Linked DNA regions of Kluyveromyces lactis. The main gene of each other region encodes a partner of the protein of the gene in region 2 in a complex. Links are inferred from orthologs where the notes say so. Each region holds a gene or a part of one and is shown on either strand. Other genes may lie near its edges.

The links.
Region 1: the proteins of RAD4 (region 2) and RAD23 are in contact, whole or in part, in a crystal structure (PDB 2QSF), measured with the Saccharomyces cerevisiae proteins. The link is inferred for Kluyveromyces lactis from reciprocal best matches to the Saccharomyces cerevisiae genes RAD4 and RAD23. Residues at the interface, in NP_011089.4 of Saccharomyces cerevisiae: Lys138, Arg139, Tyr142, Phe143, Met145, Leu146, Tyr147, Val149, Cys150, Leu151, Val153, His154, Phe156, Ile157, Arg158, Trp161, Gly224, Leu225, Arg228, Ile233, Glu234, Ser236, Lys240, Arg241, Lys242, Phe243, Lys244, Thr245, Leu246, Lys247; in NP_010877.3 of Saccharomyces cerevisiae: Leu265, Arg266, Gln267, Val269, Ser270, Gly271, Asn272, Pro273, Glu274, Ala275, Leu276, Ala277, Pro278, Leu280, Glu281, Ser284, Leu290, Arg291, Ile294, Met295, Ala296, Pro298, Glu299, Phe301, Val302, Leu305, Leu306, Gly347, Ser348, Phe349.

The regions. Positions count from the first base shown.
Region 1 is NC_006041.1:1,972,816-1,978,285, forward strand, and holds RAD23 (Rad23p), read right to left. Parts: upstream 2,972-5,470; coding exon 1,820-2,971; downstream 1-1,819. Other genes in the region: putative acireductone synthase UTR4, read left to right, coding at 707-1,372; ANP1 (Anp1p), read right to left, coding at 3,547-4,899. UniProt on the Saccharomyces cerevisiae protein: Plays a central role both in proteasomal degradation of misfolded proteins and DNA repair.
Region 2 is NC_006042.1:1,338,920-1,345,370, reverse strand, and holds RAD4 (Rad4p), read right to left. Parts: upstream 3,608-6,451; coding exon 1,304-3,607; downstream 1-1,303. Other genes in the region: VTC5 (Vtc5p), read left to right, coding at 1-37; SPT2 (Spt2p), read right to left, coding at 165-1,073; ALY2 (Aly2p), read left to right, coding at 4,158-6,451. UniProt on the Saccharomyces cerevisiae protein: Involved in nucleotide excision repair of DNA damaged with UV light, bulky adducts, or cross-linking agents.

The sequences.
Region 1 (5,470 bases), on a different chromosome or scaffold from region 2:
ACTACGAACTGAACAAGATCTAAAGATACAGTCTTTCAATCGTTAAGAACAACATAAAGTAAATAAACAGAATTCAGCCTTACGATCGCTAGCCTATTCCCATCTTAGAATAATCACGTTATACATTTTGCCCCAAGATAATGTAACTACATAGAAGTAGTGCCATTTCATTTGACAACTGTAGATCGGCCTACCGAGAAACCTGTCAAAATGGATACCCTTAATCTTAGATTACCAAATTCAATCCACTCGAAAGGATTGTCTAACGCGGTTTTGCTACGATAGATAAGCAGGAAAATACTGCGCATTGTGATGTCTGGGTTCGTGTGTGGAACGTTCCGTCGTGATCACGTGGTTTGTGGCATATTTTCAGTTATTTAATTTTTGCGCCGTCTCCAGTATCCTCTTTGGGAAACCTTCAAGTTAAGCTAAGCTGCATTCTTTTCCTTTTTAGGAAGGTGTAGCCGTTGTCCAACATTGCCTATGCTTCATTCCATTCTCGCAAGACTGATTTCCGCATCTCATCTCGCAAACTGTAAAACTGAATATTTTGTAAACCTATTCCAATCTGATGTTCTTCACGACCATGTTGGTTCGGTACGCCTAGTGAATAGGAGCTTGGAATTAATCACAGTCATTAGAAAAAAGAGCTTTAAGGCACAGTTATTTGCGTTTACTGGAAAACTGAGATTTCAATTAAGTGACAATGAGTCAATTGAAATATATCTTGGACATTGAAGGTACGGTTTGCCCTATCTCATTTGTTAAAGACACGCTATACCCTTTTTTCTTGAAACAGGTGGAATCTCTTGTCAAGACTAATGACCCTACTTTGCAGAACTTACTTGCCCAATTTCCTGTCCCACAAGATGCTTCTTCTTTGCATGAACATATTGAATCGCTAGTTAATAACGACATCAAGGATTCCGTGTTGAAGCAATTACAAGGGTATATTTGGGAGCAGGGTTACAAGAGTGGTGAGATCAAGGCGCCAGTGTATCCAGATGCAATTGATTTCATTCAGAGACATGCTCCTAATGTTTACATATACTCCTCAGGGTCAGTAAAGGCGCAAATACTCTTGTTCCAACACGTAGAAGGGGACATCGATTTAACGAAATCCATTGCTGGCTACTTCGACATTAACACGTCCGGTAAGAAAACTGAACCTCAATCTTACACCAATATTCTCAAAAGCATTGGAGTGCCTCCATCATCAGCAAGTGATGTTGTGTTTATTAGCGACAATGACAAGGAGTTAGACGCAGCTTTGGATGTAGGCATCAGCACCATCTTGGCATTGAGGCCTGGAAACAACCCGGTATCTAATGCAGAAAAATATAAAGCGCTTAATAACTTCTCATCTATATAAGACATGTCTAAGGTACACTGGTTCTCTGAATTGGGACTAAGGATATAGTGTAATGATGAATAAATTTAAAAAAATTAATGAAGGGGATATCTGATTGATTGTAACACAAATCCTACTTGAAGTTGGAAGTAAGAGATCGAACATACCACGCTCCGTCTGTTGCAGATTGACTAAGGTTGGTTAAGTATAACTGCTCATTATGAGTGCGTATGTGTGCAAAAATTGGAAGATGAATATGTGGGATGCCTTCGCTGTAGTAGGAAAATCTGACGGTATAGAGGTCATACTTGGATTGGCAAACACTACATGCTGGAGATATGAGTACGCATATTCCATATTATTAAACAAATTTGGTAGAGATAATTATTTTTGTTTTCTATTTTGAACATATTCTTCTTTCCCTACATGCCTAAAGAGACGATGGTTTATTGAAAAATCATACTACATTCAATCAGCGTAATTGTTGAATAGCATGTTGGCAGCAATTTCTTCGTTTTTGTCACATGCGAAGTAGATTTGCACCACCAAGGTCCTCTCAAAACCCAACTCGCAAAGTCTATTGATAGCTTCTTCATCTTCTGCTGAGATAGTAACATTGGGAGGCGCGCCTTGAGTTTGTCCCCCGAAATCACCTAGATCACCTTCTGCTATGTCATCTCCCAGATTTTCACCCAAAGAATCGGTTAGGGAACCGCCAACAGCTTCTAATAGCAAAGAGATAAACCTTTGTGGATCTTGCAGCATGGTCTCACGGAGATGTGGGTAACGCGTGCTTAGACTCTCGAAAAGTGGCATTAAAGCCTCTGGACGCCCAGATACAACGTCACGAAGTTGTGTAATGTCCTCCATAGTCAATCCGATTGTGCCCATTTCTTCTCCACCTAAACCAGCAGCGGATTCATGACCTTGCTCGCCATTATTGGCTTCTGCTTGTGCAAATAAATTGTCTTCATGTTCAGTGAATTGTGATGGCACGTCTGTTGCAACTTCAGAATTAGCATTCGCCCCAGCTTCACTAGTTACAGCTTCAGCTTGTTGCTGCGATGGCTCACTGGCTTCAGGAATACCCATAAGCAAATACTCCACTGCACGGTCAGGGTTGTTGAATGCTGCTCTAAGCGCACGTTCTACTTGTTCACGATCATAACCCATTTCCATGATTCTGTTCACAGTCTCGTTACGTTGAGAACCAGTGACAAACGAAGCATCAGTCGTCCCTTCTTCTTGTGTAACTGCAGTAGTACCTGTTCTTGTACCAGTGGTTGTAGCTTCCGCAGGTGCATTTGCAACTGCAGAAGTTTCTGCAGAAGCAGTGGCTTGAGATTCATCTTGGGGTTCAGTTGTGGATTCAGTTACCTTAACATCAGCCTTTTTCTTAGTTTTGCTAATCATGAATATAACCTGATCCCCTTCCTTAAGATTGCATCCTGATACGGTCTTAGGATCCTGGAGTATCTTACCTGCGTAGATCAACTTTATTTGAGATGCATCGCACTGTTTTTGTTCAGCGATCAATTCCTTGGCGTGTGAAATGGTGGCATCATCCGCCAATTCAATAGGTAGTTTTTCCTTTTTGAAATCTTTAAAATTAATAAGCATTATGCTTGTGATTTTCTTGGACTTTGTCTCAACGGTTGTTTTCTTGACTTTATCTTCTTTGCCACCCAGCCATCAGATTCAAGTTGATTTGGCATTAATTTCAATTTCTTTCACTGTTCTCAACTTTCATTTTCGATGTTGACAAAAAAAAAAACTGAAGGTATCTGACAAGATGCAGAACTCCGGAATACGCTGAAAATTACAGCTTAATGCAGCTTGATAACGTGTTTTCAGTATTTGCTTGCCTGTAATAGTTACCAGTAGTAATATGGTTTGAAGTAAACAAAATGAACAGATTATTGCAAGTACAATATTAGTATATAATGCATTTAAACGTAAATGTAAAAAAAAGTCTATTGATAAAAACCTCGATAATGATCTAAGGTGCATATTGTACAACTAGATACTCCAACGTGTTACAGTCTGCCTAATAATTGAATAATAATAGGGGATGGAAGCGATGAGAATTGAAATTAGATGGTTAAGATATCTTTTTAAAAAATATCTCGTTAGTGAAGAATGTATTTGTGGGTTTTATAATCTTCTTTACTCTTCACTGCCTAAACAGAAAATTATTAATGAGCAGGATCAAAGTCCAGTGGTACTTCATGTGAATCTTGATTATTTCCTCCGTTCCTTGAACCATCATCTGCTTCATCATCATCTGACCAGTCCACTTGAATCTTCCTATCTAGGACATTCGGATCAATGTTCTTCAAAATTTGTAACCTTTCTAGCTCCCACTCATCTCTCACGTCATCGAAACCAATATCCCAAATTCTAGCATAGAACTCTTGAATTTTTTGCTCTTCAACCCGACGTTTCTCTTCCTCGGCCATCCAGGCCATGTGTTTCAAATCGTCACTTGAAGGTTCGTAAATGTGCCAGATCACATAATGAGGTAGACCGACAACACTGTATTGCATTCTACGTGATAATTTACCAAAGGCTTCAGTTTCAGCATGTTTCTCGAAAGAGAACGCAGGGAAATGAGAACCTGTTCTAAAGACCTTAGCTTTAGATAAGATGGAAACACCACCAATTCCGTCTAGTTCCATCTCGACCTCGGGATCGCCGCTTGGGTCTCTCATGTAGGCCAAATGTGTTCTCCATGTAGCGTATTCCGGGTACCCTTCTACGATACAAGCATCTTCATCCAAAGAATCAGCTAATTGTAATCCACCCTCAGATTCAACCCATGAGTTCAAATCATATGGTTGTATATTTCCCAACCAATCGGGTAGAGGTCTCCAGACGTTTGGAACAATGACGTCTTTATCATGATGCATTAAATCTTCCAAAATAGTATTCGGTATAGTTTGAACGTCGACATCTCTCCAGTACACGTAAGAATGATACGGCTTCAAAGCCGCTGACCCAAGCCAATTTCTAGCTCTGGCCATGGATTTTCTTCTAGGGCCTTGAGCTGCAAACCCGTGTCTATCAGAAAACGATTGACCCACACTTTGACCGAAATCTTTCTCAAAAATTTCAATGTTAGCGAATCTTCTCGATTTGTCTTGGTTTGATTGAGCTCTTCTCAAATGAGAAAGAAGTGTTTTCATGGTATCATCGCTTGAATCACTGACCAAAAATGAAAGATCAATCAAGTTATGTGGGTATGTCAATTTATCCAAGGTATCGAAGAACATATCCAAATGTGCGGCTGCATCTCTCAAAGGAACACAGAACACCACCCTATCACCGGTCTGCCATCCATTGGCATTCCCCTGATAATTAATTAAATCGTAATATTCCACTCCAGGTATATTTCTGAACCTGTTACCAGTTACAGGACTTGAGACGAACGGTACGAACTGCCATATGATTGGGAAAATCATTCGAATTATAAGAAACCCCGTTACCACTGATCCTATCACGGACACAGCAGTCAAGGCATTGAACCTGCTCTTACCCTTGCTGCCCATCTATGACGGTTGTATGACGTTGTGTAGAATATTTGAATTTCCAGGAATCGAGAATAGAAGTGATTTCAAAAGTAAAGAGCGATGGATCCGGATGTTTTTATTCCTCCACAGCTTTAGCGATTGTATTTTATTGTTCGAAGAAATTTTGATACCGCAATTTTTCACAATAGATCTATAAAATGCACGCTCGTCAAAAGATCCTTATGTGTTCTTCCTTTCTCACTAATCCTGGGCGGTGCTAACCCTGTGTATTATGACACCTTCTGGAATAATAATCGGCTGCTTTAAATGACAAACCTTTTTCCTTTAGCGTTTGCAACAGATAATATGGTCTGTGCCATAATAAATACTTATAAAATATTACTATTTTCGATTGTATAGTTGCATTGTTTTCATCCATTTCAATTTCTTCGCCAAAAAAAAAAAAAAAAAAAAAGTGTATAAACTGAAATTTGGAAAAGGTAAATAAAAAGGAACTGCCAGACCCTACACGCAGTTATAAGGTGTGGGAACCAGTGATTCAACTCTCAGGGCACTGTTGGGGACCGTAAGTTGTTGTAGATAAGAAGCA
Region 2 (6,451 bases):
TGCAGTATGTTATGGATTTATAGAGTTGATATTGTAAAGCAATTTTATAATAGTACACAAACTTCAAAATGTTGATTTCATTTGGATCTATGATTTCAACTAATGCATTAATTAATTGTATATTAGATGAATAAATGATATATTCAATTCGTACATTGACATGTTTATGAATGGCTTTTCTTCAGTTTCTTTTTCCTTTTTTCGTGTTCCTTTAACCAAGCTTGCTCCCTCTTATCTTCAAGCTTCGCCATTTTTGTAGCTCTTTCCTCTTCTTCAAAGATCTCCATTTCGTTAGCTTCCATATCGTCGTCATCATCTGAATCAAAGTATTTCCTTTTACTACCTTTGTTGAAGATAGACCAAATTTCATCTCTATCGTACGGTTGTGATTTGGAGCCTTGTTCACACTCGTCTAAATCATCATCTTCAATAAAGTCTGAGAGATCTTCGTCATTCTCACTGTCATAATGTTGATCTCCGTGTCTTGCCATAATTTGTTTCTTTTCTTTAAGTTTTAACTTCTTCGCAAGCTTTTCGTTTGGTTGTGCAAAACGGTTGAAAGACTTTACCATCACTTTCGACTTCGGTTCTTTTACAGGTTTAGCATCTTTCGTTGCCGCCTTTGGTTTAGCGGCTTTATCAAATCCGAGTTTCTTCGGGAGCGGCTTCTTGTCTTCCTTTGGTCCTTCCCTAGACTTCTGCTCTGCTCGCTTCATTAATTCATCAAACGATAGTTTCTTGATTGGCTCCCTTTTCGGTACCACGACAGGATACTTTCCGCTTGTGGTATTGACACCAGGTTTTTTCTTATAAATTGGAGCCTCATCCTTCGGCGATGACGCTTTATGCCTGGCCTTAGCAGCAGGTTTAGTCGATGTGGATGATATACCTTGCTTCAACCTACGCGCTTCCTTTAATCTTTGAATAGCCGGGTCAACTTCACGAACGTAATCCTTGGGAAGTAGTTTTTCTTCAGATTGAAGAGATTTAGCTTTATTTTGGTTTGCGGAATGATTCGGTTCATTAATCTTAGTGGTCTGCTTCAACTGCTGTAACTTAGCCAAGAAGCTCATTATTTTGCTATATCTTTGAAGAGAGCAGGAGTACTGGTAGATAGAATATCGATTAATGTATACTCACTGCACCGTAGCAGCGGTTAACAATACAGTCTTGTGCGATGATTGCTTTTGATCCACTGGTACATCAACTTCCATCATGATGCTTATTTTATGTTATGTATTGTTTCCATATTATTACATAGTCATTAGATACGCTACACTAATAGTTCACGTGATCTTGAGATTTATTCTGATTCATATTGAAATGAATCATCGTCATCCGATTGCGATCCAACTTCTTGCAAGAACTGTTCGAACTCATCAGCGATTTCGTTTGGCTCCGTGTTACTTGGTTCAGCGCGGTCTAGAGTTGCTTCACCATAGGTCACAGGTGGATGTTCAACTTGTTCTGTTTCAGATTCTGCATGTTGTAATTCTGGTTCAGGCACGAATCCACCATCCATATTAGAATCAAGAAGGAACCCACCTTGTTCGAAACCGCCCATTTCTGTGTCTTCTCCCGTATATGATTCGTGATCTTCTAGATCGCTATCTCTTTCACCAGAGTAATCTCTGCCGTCTTCATCTGCCACCGCACCATGTTCTTCAACCAATCTACTTTTGATCCTGAGTTTGGTAAGAAGGAGTGACCAGCCGTTCAAAGCCTCAAGCTCTAATTCATGTCTAGCTGCATCATCGTTACATTCTTCGATATTTTCTATTACAGCAACCAATGCGTCGACGTATTCATTCTCGACAACAACGCCGGTGACCTTAGGTTTAACTCTTCGTCCCGATTCGAACTTGAAACCCGTCACTGCTTTTGCAAATGGAACACGTAAGAAGCTTGCAGCTTTAATCGAGTTTGGATTTTCTACGAGACAACACCCTATTGGAATCATCCATGGTTTATAAATGTCAATATTACCGTAGAAATTAGTAGGGATTTTACCATCAGCATCCACTTGCTTAGGAATAACATACTCAGTCTGACCAATGGGGTAAAGCCTCTCTTCATCTTCGTCTTCTTCGACAGGATTCTTTATTTTGTGTGTCAAAAGATGCTTGGCACCCGACTTCAATGCTCTTCCTTGCATGTACCAGTGCCTAGCACTGTAACAAGATATTACATCTTTCCTTGGAAAAACTTTGAGAAGGGAGTTTGATTTATTACGAAGTCGAAGGAAGCCGCACTGCTGAGCACCCGGTTTCAATACCTGGTTTGCTCTCAAATCTTTCTCTAAGACGTAGAACGGATGATTCTTAATGTCTTGTAGGCTGTCTGGGATTCCCTCGTGTTCATTACGCAAATCAAAATATTCATCCTCATAATCATCAATCCTGTTCCTATTACGTTTATTCAAAAACTTTATAATGCTGTTAAACCATTCGTTCAGTTTAGCTTCTCTTGTAATCCTCTTTTTTCGAACTTTATTTTGTAAATGTGCTATGTATCTCCGAGATACATCTTTGCAGCCTTGTTTTCTATCGAAAGCGATGACATATCGCATCATATTGAAGGCTGAATTTATACGACCTATTGGTTCTAGTTTTGATTTATAACGCACTTGTTCAATTATTTCTTGACCAACGATATCGATAGTGATCCATTGTTTCGCAAATTTATCCCATACTTCGCACCAAAATATCGGATACTTTAGGCATTCATTTTCCAAGCTCCAAACAACTCGCTTATTGTAGATCTTACTATCAGTGAAATCGGGTGGTTGAAGGCTATGAATGAGTCTTGCGTTCAATCCACAACCTCTCAGCATGGTGACAAAACCCTGCACACTAATATTGGCTGGTCCACGCATCCTTGTGAAAAACTTTTTGAATGTTTTGAATGTGACACTTTCACACTTGTGCTTCAACACCGAATCCCAATGAACCATATATAAATGATTGAATTCGTACGGTGAAGTTAGTTCTAATTTGAACTTTTTGTTCCAATGTTTCATCAACATACGTAATGCATCGAGCAACTTCCGGGTACTTCTTAATGGCATCTCATCATCCTTTTGGGGATGTAGATTATTGAATATATCGTCAGACACCAGTTTAGCAAGCTTTTTCTGCAACTTCTCGTCGTTACACCATTCGTTCCTCTGATATGAGTGGCACACGAGAGTAAGTAGCATGAACATATGACATGTTTTACGAAATTCTTTCACTGCAGGGTCTAACCCATGCTCAGTTTTCTTCTTCTTCTTCGTAGACTTTTTCTGAGCTGATGTATCTATAGTAATTGATATATTTCCATTGTTAGCAGGCGCATCAGTGACATCTTCGAACTCTTCACTATCATATTCATCATCATCATCATCATCATCATCATCATCATCGTAGTTATTCTGTTCTTCATCGTCCGATTCGATGGTAATAACGACACGATTGCTCTCCGATTCCAATTCTGGTTCCTTCTGCAAAGACCTTAATTTGCGTCTCTTACGAGGTGAACTGCTACCGCTTCCGCCAGTTTTTTCCTCCTCTTGAAGTGCATCCTTAATCAAATCAAAGTATTCTCTTGATAATCTTCCGTCGTTCATTCATGAAAAGAAAACCGTTATTAAACTGAGCAAAACTAGCACTTAAAGATGAAAACTAGAAATAGAGTCGAACCTTCTTTGCATTGAAATCAACCCCGTAACCTGGTTCAACTGTGACTCTATAACTGTTCGTTATTTTCCTTGGCATACTACACAAAATCGGTTCCTTTTCCTAGGTTCCAATTTAAGCTTTTCAATATCAAAAAGAAAAGCTTTCAGTCTTAAATATGTCCTTTCAAGAATGTCTGCTCTCCAAAAGGCAACATACCTTTTTATCAGCTGTAGGGAGGTCGTTGGTAAGTGCCATCAGAGTTTCAAGGGTCTAAGTACGGTTGTCTAGTTTATTGCAGGTTGCAGGTACAGGATTTAAGCCAGAAGAAAGTCATCTTCAAATTTATTACTTGTTTATTCTAATCTTTTCGAGGGTTTTTCAGTTTAAATCGAACAATTGTTTTCGAAAAAGCGCAACTCAAAGGGGAGACTCTATTTTCTTTCCAACTCCCTAGGTAATAGCTGACCGTAGTTTCTGGTTCTGAACTGAAATCAAAAGATGTCTTTTGACCTGAGTCCGGTAATGTCACCAGTGTTTCCTTCGGATATTCATTTGGGAATACCGAAGGACGCTACTCCTTTAGCGAAATCAAGTTCTTTCCAAGTATACATTCAACTTGCTGAGCCTATAATCTTTTTGCAAGGGTTTAGTCCGACTCATTGGGAGGGAAGACCACCTGCTATACTAAGAGGATCGTTGATTCTTCGAGTCTTAAAATCTACAAAATTGAAATCTATTAATTTAACGTTCAAAGGTACGTCAAAGACAGAATGGCCTGAAGGTATTCCACCAAAGAAGCAAGAATTTGTAGAGCTCAATGATGTTGTGAAACATACGTGGCCTTTTTTCCAAAGCGATTTGCAAAGTGTTCCAAATAACCAGTCAACAGAGCCTGCTGATTTACTGAAAGGGAGTAACGCTTCGTTATTCAGGCCTTTGCACGATGATATGGATAAACCAATGGCCAGGAGGCATAGTAATGCACAGATGCGGTCTCTTTCTCCAATAGGGAATTTTTTAAGATCTACTTCAAAGGACATTCCAAATGTCAAGATGGTATCTGAAACCTTTTGCGACATGCTTTCTATTTCCAATTCTGTTAGTGATATTTCATCGGTGAAGTCTAACGGAAACTCGTCTTCAGCAACTCCTGGTCCCTTCATATTTCATCCAGGTGATTATATTTTTTCCTTTGAGCATGCTATTCCATTATCGTATCCAGAGACTATAACTGCTACGTTCGGTCAAGTTGAGTATTTTTTGCTTGTGAATATCGAACGTCAAGGTGCTTTCAAGTCAGGTGTAAACGCTAAGCTACCTATTACAATTGTAAGGACACCATCCGATAACTCAGTAGAAGAAACTGAACCTATTGCAATTTCCAGAGACTGGAATACTCATTTACATTATGATATCATGATTGTTTCCAAAGACATTGTGCTTGATGCATTTCTACCAATTGCATTTCGAATTATGCCTATGGATAAAGTCGCGCTACACAGAATAAGAATATTCTTGACTGAGACATTAGAGTACTATTGTAAAGGCAAGAAAGTTCACAGGCTTGAACCAACTAAAAAATTCCTACTCACGGAGCATAGAGCTCCTCCCATAAAAGATTTACCACCAGATGCGGTACCTACTAAAGCTAAATATTTGGGAAATTTATTAGAAGATGAACATGGTGATTTGGTAACTAGGGACTTCAAATATCAGGTATTTTTCCCAGAAAGGCTTAATTACCAACAAAAGATTCATCCGGACACTTCATATGGGACCATCAAATCAAATCATTGGATTAAAATTAGTTTGAGATTGTCGAAGAATGTTGATGGCGTCAAAAAACACTTCGAAATAAGTATTGATTCACCTATTCATGTCTTGAATAAGCTTTCTTCTCACGCAAATACATTGCTTCCAAGCTACGATACTCATGCCGCTATTCCCCACAGTGGCTCTGTACCATTCGGTGATTCTGATTTTAATATGTATCATGATTCGAATCTATATTTCCCAAAACAAGTCATTAACTCACCAGTTATGTCTCCGGAAGTTCAACCATTAGATGAGAAAATTGGATTATCACCTGTTTCGTTAAGTCCTGTGGCCCACAACAGAACCAGTCTGAGTTTACTGCAGCACAGAAATCTAAGCCATAGCGAATTATCAATATCGGAACTGAATTTAAGGAATAAAGTGTTGCAGTCTCCAGAATTATCCTCTAATATTTACCAGCCTGAGCATATTCATGCTGAATTGGCTTCACCTCAGGCATTACCTTTATCTCCAATTTCATCTCCCACTTGGAAACCAATATCGCTCGCACAAAATCAAACCATAGATGCAGTGTCTCTGGACGATGAGCTTCCACCATTTCAAGAAGCTCTTAAAGCAGAGTCTCTACCTGTCGATCCACCTACATATTCGGAGTCAGTTGCAACTGATGGTAAGACGACAAAGTCAAAAGCTAGCAGCGAGGCTTCATCGGTGGTGGTTCCTGAAATATGCCTTTCCAATACTACAGATTTGGTAGATGAAGACATTGCTGCAGGGTTCCACTTCAATGGAAATGATAGCGGATCTTTAAATCTTCCGACTGCAATGATGAGATCCCACTCACACAATGATAGGACAGCAGTTTCTCGTAAATCATCTGTTTCTGGGAGGAGACGCAGTAGCATTATCGTTCCTGATTCTCTACCATCTACTATCAAAAACTCAAGCGAATCATTCAACGACTTGGAGCACGTTCTTTCAGCAGCTGGTAATGATGAAAGAAATGGGCCTAATGA